Linked DNA regions of Callithrix jacchus. The protein of the gene in region 1 interacts with the protein of each later gene in a pairwise test. Links are inferred from orthologs where the notes say so. Each region holds a gene or a part of one and is shown on either strand. Other genes may lie near its edges. The genes, in order: MBIP and PLEKHF2.

What was found.
Region 2: the proteins of MBIP (region 1) and PLEKHF2 interact in binary tests that used the Homo sapiens proteins (3 or more experiments, as listed by UniProt). The two-hybrid records come from large-scale screens. The link is inferred for Callithrix jacchus from reciprocal best matches to the Homo sapiens genes MBIP and PLEKHF2.

What each region holds. Positions count from the first base shown.
Region 1 is NC_133509.1:70,903,592-70,913,028, forward strand, and holds part of MBIP (MAP3K12-binding inhibitory protein 1), read right to left. Parts: intron 5,767-9,437; coding exon 5,647-5,766; intron 3,907-5,646; coding exon 3,682-3,906; intron 3,600-3,681; coding exon 3,503-3,599; intron 1-3,502. UniProt on the Homo sapiens protein: Inhibits the MAP3K12 activity to induce the activation of the JNK/SAPK pathway. Component of the ATAC complex, a complex with histone acetyltransferase activity on histones H3 and H4.
Region 2 is NC_133517.1:32,076,073-32,086,304, forward strand, and holds the start of PLEKHF2 (pleckstrin homology domain-containing family F member 2), read right to left. Parts: upstream 5,812-10,232; 5' UTR 5,657-5,811; intron 4,722-5,656; exon of another isoform or gene 4,583-4,721; intron 1-4,582. UniProt on the Homo sapiens protein: May play a role in early endosome fusion upstream of RAB5, hence regulating receptor trafficking and fluid-phase transport. Enhances cellular sensitivity to TNF-induced apoptosis.

The DNA.
Region 1 (9,437 bases):
CAAAGTAATTTACAGAATCAACGCTATCCCCATCAAGCTACCATTGACTTTCTTCACAGAACTGGAAAAAACCACCATGAACTTCATATGGAACCAAAAGAGAGCCCACATAGCCAAGTCAATTCTAAGCAAAAAGAACACAGCGGGGGGCATCACACTACCGGATTTCAAACTATACTACAAGGCTACAGTAATCAAAACAGCATGGTACTGGTACCAAAACAGAGATATAGACCAATGGAACAGAACAGAGGCATTGGAGGCAACACAACATATCTACAACCATACAATCTTTGATAAACCTGACAAAAACAAGCATTGGGGAAAGGATTCCCTGTTTAATAAATGGTGTTGGGAAAACTGGCTAGCCATGTGCAGAAAGCAGAAACTGGACCCCTTCCTGACACCTTACACTAAAATTAACTCCAGATGGATTAAAGACTTAAACATAAGACCTGGCACCGTAAAAACCCTAGAAGAAAATCTAGGCAAACCCATTCAGGACATAGGAGTAGGCAAGGACTTCATGACCAAAACACCAAAAGCATTGGCAACAAAAGCCAAAATAGACCAATGGGACCTAATGAAACTCCACAGCTTCTGCACGGCAAAAGAAACAGTCACTAGAATGAATCGGCAACCAAGAGAATGGGAAAAAATTTTTGCAGTCTACCCATCTGACAAAGGGCTGATATCCAGAATTTACAAAGAACTCAAACAGATTTACAGGAAAAAAACAATCCCATTCAAAAATGGGCAAAGGATATCAACAGACACTTTACAAAAGAAGACATACATGAGGCCAACAAACATTTAAAAAAATGCTCATCATCACTGGTCATCAGAGAGATGCAAATCAAAACCACACTGAGATACCATCTCATGCCAGTTAGAATGGCGATCATTAAAAAATCTGGAGACAACAGACGCTGGAGAGGATGTGGAGAAACAGCAACACTTTTACACTGTTGGTGGGAGTGTAAACTAGTTCAACCATTGTGGAAGACAGTGTGGCGATTCCTCACGTCCTTAGAAATAGAAATTCCAATTGACCCAGCAATCCCATTACTGGGTATATATCCAAAGGACTATAAATCGTTCTACTATAAGGACACATGCACACGAATGTTCATTGCAGCACTGTTTACATTAGCAAAGACCTGGAACCAACCCAAATGCCCATTGATGATAGACTGGATTGGGAAAATGTGGCACATATACACCATGGAATATTATGCAGCAATCAAAAATGATGAGCTCGTGTCGTTTGTAGGGACATGGATATATCTGGAGAACATCATTCTCAGCAAACTGACACAAGAACAGAAAACGAAATACCGCATATTCTCACTCATAGGTGGGTGATAAAAAATGAGAACACATGGACACAGGGAAGGGAGTACCAAACACTGGGGTCTATTGGCAGGAAGAGGGGAGGGCAAGCGGGAGGGGGAGCTGGGGAGGGATAGCCTGGGGAGAAATGCCAAATGTGGGTGAAGGGGAGGAAGGCAGCAAAACACACTGCCATGTGTGTACCTATGCAAATGTCTTTCATGTTCTGCACATGTACCCCAAAACCTAAAATGCAATAAAAATAAATAAAAATAAAAAATCCCCTCATCACAAAAGTCATCTACTTCTATCCTACCACTTGCTGAAAAGTATAGTTTCTTTGAAATTAGATAACAATGCATAAATTACAAAAGGGGAAAATTGGAATGTTAACATAGAATATGACTAATATTAACATAATTGTTATATATTAATATATAGTATATATATGATACTACATAGTAATAATATACTCTTGTGTTTGAAATAATGTTTAAAAACCACACATTGGCAGTAAATATCCTGTAAAATTCCCTTGAATATTTTTTAAGAAATGGCTGTTGAGATTATTTTAAAAAATTCTTTTTTCTCCCCCATGGAATTTCAATTTTAAAAATGCCTCTGCTTATATTTAAGTTAAATTCATAGGTTATTAAGAGGAATGCACTACTATATTAAAATACATTTTTTTTTCAGTTGAACTTAACTTAGTAATTCTGCTGATAAATCAAATAGTATGAATAAAATTCCAAATCCACTTAGCTTTTATACCTAGAGACTAGTCATCTTTTCTTCTTCTTCTTTTTTTTTTTTTTATGGATGTACCTCAAAATATGCTTAAAGGGTCATCCTTTTGCATTCTCTTCCTACCATTTCATGGGGCTAAGGGTTAAAAAAAGAAGCTATCATCTATTCCAGAACTATATTCCAAACATATAGATTAACTGACCCATCAGTGAGAAATTCAGCATGGTGTGAATGTATGAGTGCTAGCCACTCTCCACAGCAATTCTTGCTAGCACTGTTTTGAGCCAGCAAGGAATTGAATGGGCCAAGGAATCCTGCTGAGCATTTCAATTCTTGTCAATTTCTATCCCCTGGTGGTTTATAATAATAGAGTTAGCAGGGAGAACAGAGGAATAACATTAGTGACACATGTGCTTGCTCTCTCAACAAATCCTTTCTCATAGTCGCTTGCAGTTGGTTGTAGTACCTGAGATTTTGTCATTGTTGCACCTATTCTGAAAAGCTACAAGAAAATATACCATATTTAGATATGCACATGTATAATGTTAATAGTAGCACACACCTAAATTCAGGACCAGTTTATATTATTTCATTATTAAGAGAATCAGTGTACCAATGTGATATGAGTCATCTCTAGGTTCATCTGTCAATTATATGTTCATAATAATTTTAGCCATGAGATATTAGAGGCAACAAGAAAAATGTTCATTCCATATGAACTCTTCTCCATAATTTTTCCTAAGAACTACTTGTTCTGATTATTACTATGATGACTGAGTATGATCTATGGCACTGCTTTACAATATTTTGTATTCTGCAGCGTACCTGCAGATTTGTAAATGTACTGTAGCATCAAGTGAAGAGGTAAAGGAGAATCTGATGAAAAGCAGCAAATGCATGCACTATGACAGAAAGGAAAAAAGCAAGACATCATGGTCTTCATGATAAATTGGTTGTATTGTGACATAGGACATTTCAAACAGCTCAGGGGTAGTGAGAAAACTGTTCCCTCTGGAGGAATATTAACTTTACTAAGTTCACATATATTAACATCATGATTTCATAGTACATTTATAGGTTTGAAATTCATACAGCTTAGTTCCTTTTACTATTGAGATTGATCAACCCTGTCTTTCATAACTCACCACCATTTCCTAAAGGAACTTTAAAATAATCTTCACCTGTGGTAAACACTTTTAATGTTTGCATTTATTTGATTTTTGTGTAACCAAAATCAAAACCAATTTGCAACATAGTCTATTATTAAGCAGAAGAAAAGTCTACTGCCTTAGTTACTAACTAAACCTGTGAAATAAACTGAATTGTGTTCTTAAAGCCATTCATTTAAAAAATAAATAAAAGATTAGAGCAACTATAAAAATTGTACTTAAAATCCTATGAAAATTAATTTCTAGGTAGTTACCTTGATTACAATCAATAACATTGCAAAACTCTCTGACGTTGTTTTCATTGATTTCAGCTTGCTTTCTTTCAATAAATGCAGATATTCGTCTGTCAATCTACAAACAACAAGTTTTAACAGTGTAAACATAAGATTTTTAAAAGTAATACCCTCTCATCCCCACCAAAAAAACTTCTTACTTCTGCTTTTCCAGCCTTTATCTGAACTACTTCTGGATCAAAATGGATCTGTGTCTTTTTCACATCTCCTAAATCACATTCTTTGTGCTTTTCTTCCTTTTGTAGGTCGCCAAAGGAAAATTTGTCATTTACTTCATTTTTGTTCCCCGTTTCTGTTTTTCCTATCTCTTCAACAGCGGTTGTATTCTCCTCTTTAACTGGAGACTGAAGTTTTGCTAAAAAAGGCTGAGAACAACACAATTCCATCTGCTGAGATTCAAACTGACCCAAATTAATTACACATTTAATATATTTACATAAATTTCTGCTAAATTAAATATTTAATATTACTAAATATAAAAAGTTAGTACACCAGGACACATAGATCTGACTTCATATAAGTATTTACTATTCTTTGCTATTGTAACCATTATCATTTGCTATAAATTTTAAAAGAAGAGAGGAAAAAAGAAAAAAGATTAGAAAACCTAAGGAAATTTAAAATTTTCTTTGAGAGAATCATTCTGTCACTTATCTTTTATTTTGTGCCAAATCAAAGCCTTCAGCCTCTGGCACCAATGCCACTTAATTAACATGTCATTCAAATGCCTCCTCAGAACACTAAGGCTTAGTATTTTTCCTCCTTAACAGGAGAGCCAGTGCTCTCACTCAGCAAAGCCCTGCATTATCACTGTATCACTGGAGATTCTCCACTTGAAACTGCAGTTGGCCAATGTGAATGAGGAAGCATAGACAGGAAATATATAGGTGTTAGGCTGAGTGAACACTCAAGACTTTTCCTGACATGGCAAATATCTTCTTGGGCCATAAGATTAAATTTTAAAAAACAAAACTAACAAGAAAAAAAAATCTATGGCAGAAAACAGGCAGAGGCCTATCACTATACTACAGGGGGAAAAAAACCCCTATTGTAGAATATAAATGATATTATCCATTTACTGTTCTCCTCCCCCACTCCACACAATTAGGCCTCATTTGAGTTCTATAGCTCACTGCTCTGCCCTTTGAAAACAGGGTTAACTATTACTTTTAACGTGAAACAGTTAAAATTTCCCACAAAGTCAATAAATGGAGAGCTGAAAATTAATGCCTATTCCATTAGTCAAAACACACTAACACTAATAACGTTCCAATTATTTTTTTCATATCCACAATTTTGCTTCCCTTGTTTGCTATACCAAATACTCTCCTGAAACCGTATAACATCTTAATCACAGTAAACTGACCAATCCAAACAGTTCTTCCACTTATCTTTTTGACACTTTACATTTTACACTTTAATTAGAGATAAACTGCAAACTTACATCAATTATAATTGGAAAGATGTTCAATTACAAACTAGCAAGGTCATAACATGAAATACTTAAAAATATAACAATGCTATTATAAATACCAGTTCAATATTAGCTTCTAATATAAAGAATAAATTATTTCAAACTGTTAAGAAAAAGAAAACAGTGACTGGCTACTTACTAAGATGAGACATTAATGTCACAGAAATTACTTTCTTTTTAAAAACTATGCTGAAACTGTTTAATTGCAATAGACACTCCAGGATGTGTCATGCTGGGATAATGCCCCTTCTTGAACCACTGAAAGCACTCCATGAGCCTCCAAACTCACCCAAGGCATGGAATCATTATCATAGCATGACACACACCTGCCGTGTCTTATTGCTTAATTATAACCCACCATAGATGGAACTGTATTGAATTTTCAGTGCAGGTCTAGAATTGAACAGAACTGCATTCATTCACTCTCATACCCACATTAGTCTTTTGGGCTATATTCCCTTAACTGTCCTGATCACTACTGAAATTAACAGATTTAGATCCAATCTGGATGTAAATAACCTTTTATTAGCAACACTATTAATAGAGTGTTTAGAACTGACAAATACTCTAATTTAACCACAATTAATTTCTGTTTTCAATATCGGGTTATCATTTCTAACAAGAAATTTACCTGTAAATCTAAAATGTGTTGTTCAAGTGCACTAAAGAGCAACGCAGGCTGGAATGCCGAAAAGCTTTGGAGCTTGTTCCAATCGATTGTAATTTTCACCACATCATCTCTGAGGTTAAGCTTCAAAAAGGCAAACCAGCAACATCACAAAAATTATAAGATTAAACTGTACATATGGAATTGTCACAAATAAAGGATTTCAAGAGTAACGTGTCTATTTTGCTCAAAGTTATCAAGTTTTACACTGAAATGCTCTACCTAGTTACCATTTTAAATGGCCACGAAAGCTACAGATTTTCATAAAAAACAAAAACAAAATGACATGTCATTCAAATTCTATTCTTGGGTCTGTGTAACGGGATCATTTTAGAGGTGAAACCATTCATGAAAGATGAAAAGATGAAGGCTCTTTTGATTCTTCAATATCTACAAACCTTTGGATGGAGTCCAAAATAGGCTTACCCTATTCAGAATCCTACTACTTCTAGCTCAGAGCCGTAAACAGAGGAAGCACAACTGTTTTGTGAAAGTTTTAACATGCATTTTTCTCTTTAAGTACGTACACAAATACATACCAGATATATATCACTATTCTGATGTTCTCCAAATCACATTGTTATTGTTTTCACCTTTAACCAAATTTTAAACTAATTTAAAAGTCAAGATTACTCATACATACTAAAAGCAGGGATAAATGGCAACATGTTTATTTCAAATAAAAAACTATTAGTTAGCTATGGAAGTCTGAAGCTGAAAAACAAAGACTTCTCCACAATAGTGAAATAAGTTGTCAGACTGGATGAAATGGCCAGATCTTTTGCTAAATGGTAAGATGTGAGGGCTCATTATATGGAAATTTGTATCAGTTGGTGATCTAACAGAATAAAATCATACCCAGAAAATTACAAAGAACCTGAATATAAGATTATTATCAAAATGAATGAAAATTTTACAGTGATAGCACCCATCTGCAGTCTTTTGAGTGAATAAAAGTGAACTATCATAAACTTTCCTAGGGACATATGTTTACAGGATAGCATAAGAATATATTCCATAAAAGAAACAAGTTACATAATTAATTCAAAATTCATCATCTTTTCTACAAAATAAAGTTGTTACGTTAGTTCAAATACAGATTTTAGGAGTTATAAAGATGAATCACTGTACAAAGATCAAAAAGATGTAAGGTTACCAATAAAAAGATAATATATTGAATAAACACTATGTGACAGAAATTTACTGCCCTTTTAAGATAAGAACAGAAGAATTTAAAAGTCCATATTAAACAAGTGTAAAGATATATGAAATTTCATGTAGGCTGCACTGGCAAAGATTAGAACATATTAAGACTTTAAAGTTAATGCATTAATTTATATTACTTTAATGCCTATAAAGATTTTGCTACACAACAACCCATATTATGTATGGAAGTAACCCATTAATATACTTTTGTAGTCTTCAAAGAGATCTATACTCGATTATAGAAAACTTATGAATACAGCTTGGGGATAAAGCAGGCAAATCCTCAACCAAAGCAAAGTATCACATTTTTCTAGAGAAAATAACGTATAGAAAAATAAGTCTTAATGTTTGGTTCATATTCTCATTTCAATTCAGCAGAATTATATAAACCTTCAAGTGCAATTAAGAATAATTGGTCTTTTAAGAAAACCACATAATGTCACAAATTAATTATAAAACTATCCTAATTCATCTAACTATTCATTCAAGACATTCATTATTAGTCACATGAATCCTATGCATTTTGCCCTACAGAACTTGGAAGAGTAAACCATTCACTTGAAAATCTCTATTAGTCTGCTATTAATATAGACTATTTAAATATGTAGTTTCATTAACTTTACTAAATTAATACAAAAATCCAAGCTAAAAATAAGTAATTGTTCAGCTTGGTAAGATGGGCCATCCAGAGGCAAGCAAAAAGGTTAAAATTAGTAAATTTTGTGATCTGAAGTAAAAAATTATTTTTAACATTCAGTTTTGTGTTTCCTACTGAGGAGATCTAATAATACAATGATACTTAGGGATGACACAGGATAAGTTAGGTATGTTACAACATACATTTTAAAAATCCTTTAAACTGGTCGCAAAAGAAAATACTGATTTCTCGGGGGGGCAATTTTATAAGTATTGAACTCTGGCTTTCACTCTTAAAAAACATTTCTCAAAATACAGAGTATTTTGAAAGTGGTTTACATTTAATTGATGAAACAATCATATTTTTGACACTTGTGTAGGAGGTCCCTTCACTGTGTCACAGTAAAGTCACCAAATATTTACTGTCAACATTTTTGACAAGTGACATAAGTAAACTGTAATCATTTCTTTAATTGTACTTTACCGTACTTGAATCATTAAAATTTTCTAATGAGTTTGAAAAATTCAGTATGCAAAATATTTCAAAAGAAAAGTTTAAATCATTGCTCAATATTTTTTTTAAATATTCCATCTTCTGTTAATAGGTGAGCATAAACTTTTTTTATCTTGACATTAGAAAATAAACAAGTTCCGACGTCGCCATAAAAAGTTCTCTAACTTTTAAACCATTTAGAGGTTTTGGTTCTTAAGACTACAATGTTAATAACAAAAGACCCCAAGTGTTTAAAAAAATGTTTTTGGTAAGTACTTGGCAAACAATTGAGTTTAAAAGTTGTATCTTTTAGCAGATTTCATTAACAACTGCGTCATTACATAAAACCGCTAAACTTACAGTAATGTTCTTTGTAAGACACAACATACTACGATTTTTAAAACTACTTTAGTAACTTTTTAAAAGACTGATTCTCCATCTACTCAAGGCTTTAAAAAAATAATTTTCACAAATCAGACAAATGTTCTATTTTTATAGGAATTTACCATTGTCTTTGACACAAATGCCTGCTGTGTCCACAGGCACTAGTACCAGCTCCAAAACAAACTTTTACGGCTAGAAAATGGTCTATGTAAGATAGAAAATATTTCCTTTTAATAAGCAGGTGAAGAAGCATAATTTTAAACTGTTTCACATTTAAAATCTGCTTTGAATTTTACACCATGAAACGAAACAGTGACTTGATCACAGAGAATAAGAAGTCCATTTAAATTTAAAACCAATTTTACCACATTTCTGCAAAAGCGATTTATCAGCCAGTTAAACTACGCCCGTTTAATAATAGTTAAATAACGCCCGTTCTATTGCAAACAACATCAAAGAGGGATAACTCATCCAACTTTACGCTAGAAGTATTTTAAATGAATTCCTTTTACTTTCCTCTCCATTTAAAAGGGTAATAGATGCACAAAACAGCCCGAAGGAAAGAAGAAATAAACAAAACCAAGTGACTCATAAGAACAAATTACTCCCTCTAGCCCCTGAAAAAAGCTAATAAGCGCGCTTTTCTATAAATCTCAGGCCTACTGACCAACCAATTCCCGTAATTGAGTAAGTTGGAAGAAAAAGGAGCCTGAGCGCGAGGCGCCTCATAAATCCGCAGTTAAGCTTTTCCACATTCATTCTCTCCAAGTCTGCTCCTCTCGGGGCCGGGTTTTCACTTAAACCATCCTCACCCACTGCTGGGGAGGACAGCTGCAAGGTAAACCACTTGGCAACCGGTACCGCCATCCTCCTCACTCCGACTGAGACGGCTCGGCCCGGGCTCCTCCCCGACCTCGGCTTCAGGGGCCGCACCTCAGACCTTGGCAGGCCTCGCTGCCTCTGGCCTCCGCTAGAGGAAAAGAATGAGGGGGAGAGGCCGGATGGTTTCCATACCCTCAATCCCTGAGGCCACTTC
Region 2 (10,232 bases), on another chromosome or scaffold:
TAAAACTTCATCATTGGGGGAAGAATATTAAAGTTACATGGCAAAAAGTCAACATTCATTTATTCATTTATTTATTTATGAGACAGGGTCTTGCTCTGTCACTCAGGCTGGAGTGCAGTGGCACAATCTCCACTCACTGCAACCTCCACCTTCTGATCTCAAGCAATCCTCCCACCTCAGCCTCCTGAGTAGTTGGGACTATAGGCATGCCATCATGCCCAGCTAATTTTTATATATTTTGTAGAGATGGGGTTTTGCTATATTGCCCAGGTTGGTCTCAAACTCCTGGACTCCAGCAATCTGATCTGCCCACCTTGGCCCCCCAAAGTGCTAGGATTACAGGCGTGAGCCACTGCACCCAGCCAACATTTTTAATATACAAAGGGCTCCTGTAAATTTACAAAAAAAAAAGGAAAACATCCCAACAGAAAAATAAGAAATAAATGTCAATTTCAAAAAAAAAAAAAAAAAAAAGAAACCAACTACAACAAATAAAAATAATCAATAAATTTAAAAAATGACTCTCAGTCCCAATCAAATAAAAATTCAAATGATATTAACATATTATTCATCTCTCTAAAATGTGGTTAAAAATGGGCCTCATATTCTTGACAATACTGTATACACACTGGAACAACGTTTCTAAATGCCATTTTTGGCAATACAAATGCTTTAAGAAGTTTAAACAACATTACTATTTCCAATAATATATACAAAAATTAACAATGTACAAAGTTGTTCACATGAAGTTCACTGTAGCTCTGTCTATGATACTGAAAAGCTAGAAACAACCTAAATATTTATCAATAGGAGACTAATTAAATAAATTTTGGTACATCCATGAATTTTTAGGAAACTTTTAAAAAAACATAATATTTAATGTGGAAAAACTGCTAAAACATTTTATTAAATAAAAGTTTTTAAACAGCACATATAGTATAAGCCTATTTGTTACTTAAAAGTGGTTGATAAACACCAAAAAGTTAGTACTGGTTATCTCTAAGTACTAGACTAATAATATTTTGATATGCCTAATTATTTTGTGATGAACACATTCCCTCATAGACAAAAAAAAAAAAAAAAAAAAAAAACGCTTTTAGTTTGGGAACAAAGAATAATGTGTAGAAAAATATAAATATAAAAAGCAAAATACAGTTATATGTACAATTAATAAAAATATGAGCAAAGAACACAAAAATCTTTATTTTCCCCCAACTGTTGTTTAAATGAAACAACTATAAAGCTTTCAAAATAGTTCCACTTCTGAAAATGCGAAGAAAAAAAGATGAAAAGTTGGTGCAAAGAAGAAAATAGAAAATTCACATCATAAAATCTTAATCATTTTAGAAGGAAGCAAGGTAATCTGCTCAAAGTCAAGTGTTTCAAGACTGGGGTTAGCAACCTGACTGGAGTGAAAAAGCAACAGAGAAAATGAGTCAACTTGAATTAGAAAGTGACTAGTACACAGCAGGCAGAAAACAAACAGTAGAAAACAAATATGTAACAAGCACCAGAAGTGTGACTTCTGAGGGGAGTGTGGGGCAGGGACAAAAGCAGCAAATTGACCAGTTATACCCAGCAAAGATCAAGGAGAGGAGGTACTATGTGGTCTAGTGAGTTCATGGTGAGAATATAAACTACAGAGTTCAAGGTTGGAAAGAAGGAAGACAACTAATGGCCTAGGAGGGACTGGAGGTGACAATAAGGACAAAAAGCTGCTTCACCAGATATGACAGAAAAGAGAAACAAAACAGACCCTTGCATTGCCATCTGGCCACAGGGTTTAAGACGTGAGGTAGAATGGTTCCGAATGATGACAAGATTAAGTAACATGGTCATAACCTGCAGCCTGCTGATGTAGAGTAGGGGTAAGGGTCACTGGAGTTAGTGAAGTACAGATGCAAATGTGGCCATTCTGGCCAGAAATGACTGTAACTTTTACTTAACCTCTATGCACTTTGCTTTCCTCAGCTGCAAATATTTAATACATCCTTTCCAGCCTGCCTAATAGGAATTTTGCTAGCAGCTAAACAAACCCCTCTTCATTTTATACAACTACGAAATGAAGAGAATAAAAAAGGAGATGAGAGATTGAGTTAAATCAAAGGTTCTCCATCTGACTGAACACTAAAATCAGGGTGCTTTTAAAAAAGAGGCAAAATTATCTATGTTCTGTCCCCAAACCAAGTAATTCTGATTTATTTGTCCTGGGGTGGGATCCAGGCAATAGTATTTTTAAGTAGCCCCTCAGGAGATTTTAATGTGCAGCCAAGGTAAAAACCGAACTAGGTATTTCTACAGGCTGCTTCCCTTTAAAAGAGAATATAATTCTATATAGTTCACTGCCACTCTGTTCATTTGTTAAAATAATACCTACTATCATATTCCAGGCCATTCCACAAACATCGAATCTTGGGTGATCCGATATCACTGAGGCAACTTTTTCTGAGGCCCATTTCACAAATGAGTCAGTGAAGCTTACAGAAGTGAAGTGGCTTGTTCAAGTCACAAGCTAGCAAGGAGCTGAGCCAGGACGAGGTTTATTTGTTCCAGTCCATCCTACAACTTGCTCTCTTTCCAGTACATTCACAGCAACTATTTGAATGCCTTTTATTCTCTTCCCAGGACCTCCCTAAATTGAGCACAGTAGTTTGTGGTTTACAGTTTGACAGGGGAGAAAGTTACCTTGGGTGGGGGCAGGAAATAAAACCCTAAATTCTACAGTCATTACAGAATTACAAAACACCTTAACCTAGAGAAGTTTTGCAACTTAAAGTAACACTGTGAAAGCGTATTCATGAAGTATTTTTTATTCACTTAACACATACCTTGTTTTTAAGTATTAAGCAGGCAGTTCATGTACAAAGCTGGTTCAGCAAAGATAAACTTACAATAGAAGAATAAAATTCATATACTTCCTATTAAGCAAGGCATTTAAAAAATTCTAACACAATTCTGGCAAAACAATAATTGATAAAGCTATAATGAGATTTGTTCCAAGAGCTTAAATGTATAAATATGACCTTCAAAATTTTCAAGCATTAACAATATTTCCATCAAGTTCAAATAAATTCAATCACACTTAAAATTATGATTATAATCCCTTTGATGATCCATGGCTTCTCTCTCATACATCAGTAATTATACTTTAATCCATTATCTACTTAGAAATTTCATTAATATTTAAGTTGCATAAATATTATGGAACTTAGTAAGTTTCCCCAGGCCAAAATTCACTCAGTTACTAAATTCTCAACACCACCACCACAACAAAATACATACATATATGCACGTGCGCGCACACACACACACACAATAAACCAGTTTGAGGATTTAATGGAGCTGATGGCATGTAATGGGAAAAAGACTACAAAGAAGACTTAACTATGCTGCTCATGGAATTTATGATTTCATAAGAAATTCATGAAGCAAATTTACAAGGAACAAACATATGTGCACTCATCCATTCAAACCTTTCCTGAGCATCTGCTATGCTCTTGGCATGCAGGGAATGAAGAGGCAAATCAGACCCGATGTGTTGCCTGCTGTCAAAGAGATGTCATGACAGATCTATGCGGCATTTACAGTAATACCATGGGAGAAATTGATTTCTGGGGAGAGAGAGGGAGTGGAATGAGAGAACACAGCAGAAAAGGCTTCAAAGAATATAGGCCTAAATATTTTTAAGGAAAAATTTCATCACAAGAACCACTTGTAAATCAGCTCTCTGAGAAATAAGTGCTTATACTGAAGAACTAAATTCAAATCAGAAAGAACAATGCTAACAGTAAACAAGATGGACAGATTGCTCCAGAGGACTTAGTTATGTATCTTACAAAGTTATGCTATAGGAAAAATAAGAAGGCTTCAGACTCAGATCTCAGTTAAATACCAGCTTGGCTGCTACATTTGTGAAATTAGTTAAGTCATTTCAATTCTAAGAAATCGTTCATCCATAAAAATAAATAAGTAGTATAATGGCATTTACTTGACAATGAAGCAAAACTAAAAGAATTTTTATCAACAACAGAAGTTAGCAATAAAGCCTGAGCAACATGGCAAAACCTTGTCTCTACAAATTCAAACAAAAATTAGCCAGGCATGGTGGTGCGCACCTGCAGTCCTAACTACTCAGGAGGCTGAGGTGGATGGCCTAAGCCCGGGAGGTCAGGGCTGCAGTGAGCTGAGATGACACCACTGCACTCCAGCCTGGGCGACAGAGCGAGACCCTGTCTCACAAAAGGAAAAGAAGGAAAAGTAAGGAAGAAAGGGAGAAAGAAAGGGAGTGAGTGAGGGAGGGAAAAAAGTAAAAAGAAATTGGCAATCAAATATGAGCAAAAGCTGTATTTTTAGATCTAAAAAGTAAAAAAATTCTCCAAGAATTTGGTGTTTTAGGGCTTATTGTATTGGTGCTTAAGAGCCTTTTCAATTCATTTAAACAGAATTTTAAAGATGCCTTTATTTAAAAATAATTTAGATTTATTTACTGAGGCTGAATCTTTTCTCTTGATGCCTTAGTCACTACACTAGTTTTGAGGCCGATTACGTGTACGTTCCAAATAAAAAGGTTAATACCACTCACCTCGTGTGTGGTCGGGACCCAAAGAGATTACACTGAAGCCTTCATTAATACTGAATGAACGTGAAGACCCCACGAGGTACCAGAGTATCAAAAAAAGAGGTAAATGCTCAAAACACCGTAGGCATTCACTCTTAAGACACTAAAGGGAGGAAAAAAACCAAACTGTCAAGATCACCTCATTCTTAAGAGAACACATGCCTTTAAGACTCTCAAAGTTTGTGTCTAAATCTTTCTCTAATGACTCTCTTCAGCAACGTACTACACAACACCACAAAAAAAGCATTTATTAACAACGTGTTTGGTGAGTCTATGAATTACCGAGGAGGGGTTAGGTGTCCGTAACCTTCATACCCACTTCCACCGCACACTCCAGTTATTGCTGGAATGTACGGAGAGCGCACAAGGCTATTCAAGCCGCACCAGCAGCGCGCTCTCGGCCTTCAATCACGTTTTTAGAAAGAAAAATAAAATCGGCAAAGGATCATAAAACTTTAAAGGCTCCAAATAAATAAACCATCGCTTCTATCAGAGCAAGTTCTGCAAGGCCATTTTTTTTCTCCCAAGTGACATACAAATATGTAATTCAGTTTACAACGTCCCCGATGTGCAGACCCTGCAAACTTTTCGGCCAGAAAATTGTTGGGACCCTGAGACGACCCTGGCCGTGTCCCGGACCCCCGACCTCAGGCCCTACAACTTCCCGCCCGGCCCGGGGGCTTCTTCCCGCGTCCGCCGGCCCCTGCCCCGCAGATCGGTGGACAGAACCCTCCCCGCCGGCCCCCGTTCCCTCGCAGCGGCGGCGGCGGCGTCCTACAGGCGGGCGCAGCTCTCTCCAGGGCTGGCGGGACGGTGGCGGCGACTGGCCAGGGAGCCAGCCCGGGCGCGAGGGGAGCGGCCGGGAGCGCCCCGTTTCTCACAGACCCCAACATGGCGTCCGCCGCCACCGCCCGCGACGACGACACCTCCCGGCGCCGCGACGGCTCCGGGACCGCGGGAGGAAGCGCCGGGAAAGTTTCGCGTCTCCCCTCCCGGCCAGCCAGGAGCCGGCGGACCACCCACCCAGGCTTCACCTACCCCGACGGCCGCGGAAGGCGGCGAAAGCGTAGGTCCGATTCCTCCTCGTCGCGGACGCTGGGCTCAGACTCTGCCCGTTCCCCGCCCGGGCCTCCCAGGGTGTGTGCGGTCCGCAGTCCCGCGCAGCCAGCGCGATCCAGACGCGGCGGGCGACTGGCGGGCCGCCAGCGCAGCCGCTCGCAGGTGACTCACCCGCCCCTCCAGTGGAACTCCACAACGGCAGCCTAGATTGGCCTCTCCCCTGCGCGCGCACGGGCGCGCCCTCGCCCACACGCCGGGCACGAGTGCGCGGGCACGAGCACACCCACACCACTCGCTCCCCGCCCTTTCTCGCCAGTTCCCTCGCCCCGCCCCTAACGACGCGCTCTAGGGGCGGGGCCTTCGACGGAGGCCACACCCACCCGGGAACTGCCTCGGGTGGAGCTTGTTCTTGTGTGATGTCGGGACGTGCTTCCGCGATGCGTTGAGGTCCACGTGGGGTGCCCTACCTGGCTTTCCTGACTCCGATAAGCCTTTAGTTAAGTATTGGTCAACTGTCTACGAAGTTTTTAGGGAGAGTGGAAGAATGGAAGAAAGACACCTCCCACCCCCAACAGCCCTCCCCAGGGAACTGAAGAACGGGAAAGGCAGGCTTTGGATTTAGATGCCCAAAGGCGTCGGAACCGGCTTTTGCCGCTCTCATTTAGCAGGGCAATCCTTTCCGTCTCACTTTCCCTTTGTTTTACCTAAAATCCCTCTTCTTGAAACTAAGGGAACTGCGGCGACACACACATACCCCACGTGCTCCATCCAGCCATTTCTTTTAAGTGCATACTTTAGAATTCTGGTCTTTCCAAAACGTTGACTACACAAAACCTCTCAACCTACTTCACATACCTAGAAACTGTAATTATAGCATAGTATGTAAGGTTAAATGTGCCCTAATTAATCTGCTAGCTAAGCGCTCTGGTGGGTGTATGGAAAGGTAACAAAGTTGCTTAGGGTAAACCAAGGATGGGGACGAGGTGGGGAGAACAGCATACTTATTTTAAACTAAGTGTGTGTGTAGGTGGAAATTAGGTTTTGGTAAATTTTATGTTTCTTGTTCATCTATTATTTCAGAAAATTGTTTTATCCTGGGTTTGATTGCCATTGAATTAGAGCCATTACCAGCCAAGCTGCACGTGGATGAGCACCCAGGGAAGAGAGCAGGCTTGGGTTTCTCTGCTCTTCCACCTGGGATTCTCATCCAGGCCTTCTGCCTCCCATCCTCCTCTCTTTCAATAGAGTTTGTCTCTGAAACAAACAAGTCTTTTTTTTTTAATTAATAATTAGAACAAAATTGGCAAAGATGAACATTTTTTAATGGGGAAAGTTGTATGATCATACACACATACACAGTTTTCCGAGTACAGATGTCTCCAAGACTCTTGTCTGTATATCACTCTACCTCATTCACCTCTGCCTGCACAGCAGTATCTATCAGTGGAGAAAAGGCAGGACTAAATAATGCTTAAAATCCTTTTAAATCTTGAAAGTAGGAATTGCTATGTCTGACTGGTGGTCTCGGGTCAAGCCTAGAGCATTAGTCATCAAATATTTTTGGTCACTGTTATTAGTAAAAATGTTTGCCCTCCCCACTTCCCATGTACTTATTTAGCTTAAGTAAAGGGCATGATTGGCTTTGCCTCTAACAACCTGTATCTTAGGGCACATCCAAATATGACTTTGGTTTTTTCACTTGTAAAATGGAGATAATAAAAGTATATCACAGAGTTATGAAGATTAAATGAATTAATATATGTAAAGCATATACCTGTCACACTTTACAAGTGTGAAATAAAATTATTACATATATAATGTACATATATAGTGCTACATAAGTGTGAAATAAAAAATATTACATATATAATATACCCAGCTACTCAGGAGGCTGAGGCTGGAGGATCATTTGAGGCCAAGAGTTCAAATCCAGACTGGGCAACATAGCAAGACCCAGTCATACACACACACACACACACACACACACACACACACAATTATATGCATAATATATATGGTGCATATTTATATATACACATACCTATTATACCTAGTATGTTAGGTACATTATAAAACAACATACTCTATTTAAAAAGCAAGCCATGCCTGTAATCACAGCACTTTGGGAAGGCAGACAGCCTGAGGTCAGGAGTTCAAGACCAGCCTGGCCAACATGGTGAAACCTCATCTCTACTAAAAATACAAAAATTAGCTGGGCATGATGGCACATGCCTGTAATCACAGCACTTTAGGAAGCCACGGCAGACAGCCTGAGGTCAGGAGTTCAGGACCAGCCTGGCCAACATGATGAAACCTCATCTCTACTAAAAATATAAAAATTAGCTGGGCGTGGTGGCACAAGCCTGTAGTCTTAGCTACTCAGGAGGCTGAGACAGGAGAATTGCAGAGGTTGCAGTGAGCTGAGATCGCACCGCTGCAGTCCAGCCTGGGCGACAGTGAAACTCTTTCTCTAAATAAATAAATAGCAACATATTTTTCCAGAATACTGGCATAAATATGTCATTTATATCCCCATGTAAAAACACGAAACTTAAGCATGATTTTGTTTTAAAATTTTATTTTTAAATAAAATAAAAACTTTTAGAGTTTAAAGCCAGATAGACCTGGAGGTTCAAAATCTGATTTTGTAAGTTTTTAGTTGTCTAACCCTGTGTAAGTGACTTAATTGCTCTGCTCCTCGATTTATTATTTATTTATTTATTTATTATTATTATTATTTTGAGATGGAGTCTTGCTCTGTCACTTGGGGCTGGAGTGCAGTAGCACAATCTTAGCTCACTGCAACCTCTCCCTCCTGGGTTCAAGTGATTCTCCTGTCTCAGCCTCCTGAGTAGCTGGAACCACAGGCATGCACCACAACACCCAGCTAATTTTTGTATTTTTAGTAGAGACAGAGTTTCACCATGTTGGCCAGGCTGGTCTCGAACTTCTAACCTCAGGTGATCCACCCACCTGAGCCTCCCAAAGTGTGGGATTATAGGTGTGTCACCACACCCAGCCTGCAACTCAATTTCTTTATTTGTAAAATGTATAGAATGAGGAAAACAATCCCTATTCCCTAGGATTATAAAGATTAGTGATAATATAAGTACAACACACAGCACGGCACCTAGCAAATAATAGATGCTCAATAAACAGAGGATGTGTTGGCAATAGTTGTAGTAGTAGTGAATGTTGCTGCTGTTGAAATTACTAAGAAAATATAAATTTTTACCACTCGTGAAAATGCAGGAAATGGTATATTAATCCTTGACATGTCTGATTCACAGGTCCCTGGCCAATTCTTGCAAAGGTCTTTCCAACATCTTTATGCCTCTTCAATGACTTTATATTCTTGAAGTTGAGAACGCACAAGGGCTGTTCACAAACAGGAAAAATGCTATGTGCACACACTGTCATTCAGTTGCAGCCACCCAATCCCACTCCTCACCTTATCTCCCTTTGACTCTGTATGAATCTATCCCCTCCACTCATCTCCAGCCCTGACTGACTGACTGACTTATTTATTTAGTTGAGACAGAGCCTTGCTCTGTTGCCCAGGCTGGAGTACAGTGGCATGATCTCAGCTCACCACAACCTCTGCCTCCTGGTTTCAAGTGCTCCTGCCTCAGCCTCCCAAGTAGCTGCAGTTACAGGCATGCGCCACCATGCCCGGCTAATTTTTTGTATTTTTAGTAGAGACAAGGTTTCACCATGTTGGCCAGGCTGGTCTCAAACTCCTGACCTTATGATCCGCCCTTCTCTGCCTCCCAAAGTGCTGGGATTACAGGTGTGAGCCACCGTGCCTGGCTCCAAACCTAACTTTTACCTGATTTCACCCACATGTTTGTCCACTTCTTAGCTCAAGTTCAGCCACCAGGCGGGTGGGCACGAAGATAGGCAGGCATGACTGGATAGAGGAGAAGGTAGCTGGACCAAGAAGGCCTCAGAGAAGGGTCCGTGCTCCTTGCAGAGCAGTTTCCCCATTCCACTTCAGTTGGGCCTCAGCCCATACAATCACTATTGCATATGATTCACACGTAAGGCAGGCCATCTTTTAGGAAAGGAAACCAAAATTTGGAAATGAAACTAAGTGGCACCACAGCCAAGAAACAGGGAACAGAGGCAAGAGACAGAGAGGCTCACAGCCAGAGACCACAGGACTTGGTGCAAAGGTCTGTTTCGAAAATGAGGGTCAAAATTCCTAAGTGTTAGAAAGGAAATTTTGATCTGGAAAACACTAAATTAAATAGCTTTCTGATGTTAATGCACCCACTTTCGGTTTACTGAGCTTTTCTCCTGTTGTTTCTCTGCCATATGATCTCCAGCATATCTTCACCTTAGTTTCTTCTTGTCTCTGCTTTCCTACAAGAAGAGTTCTGATACCCATTCAACTTTCCCAGAAATGGAGTACTGTGGATGTGAAGAGAAATAAACACATGTTCCTCATGGATTTGAAGACCAAAGTTATCATGGAAATCTTCCAATTGGGGACAAGGTTGGAGTGGAAAGAAAAGATAGAGTGAATTCATCTTATGTATTTATATATCTGTTC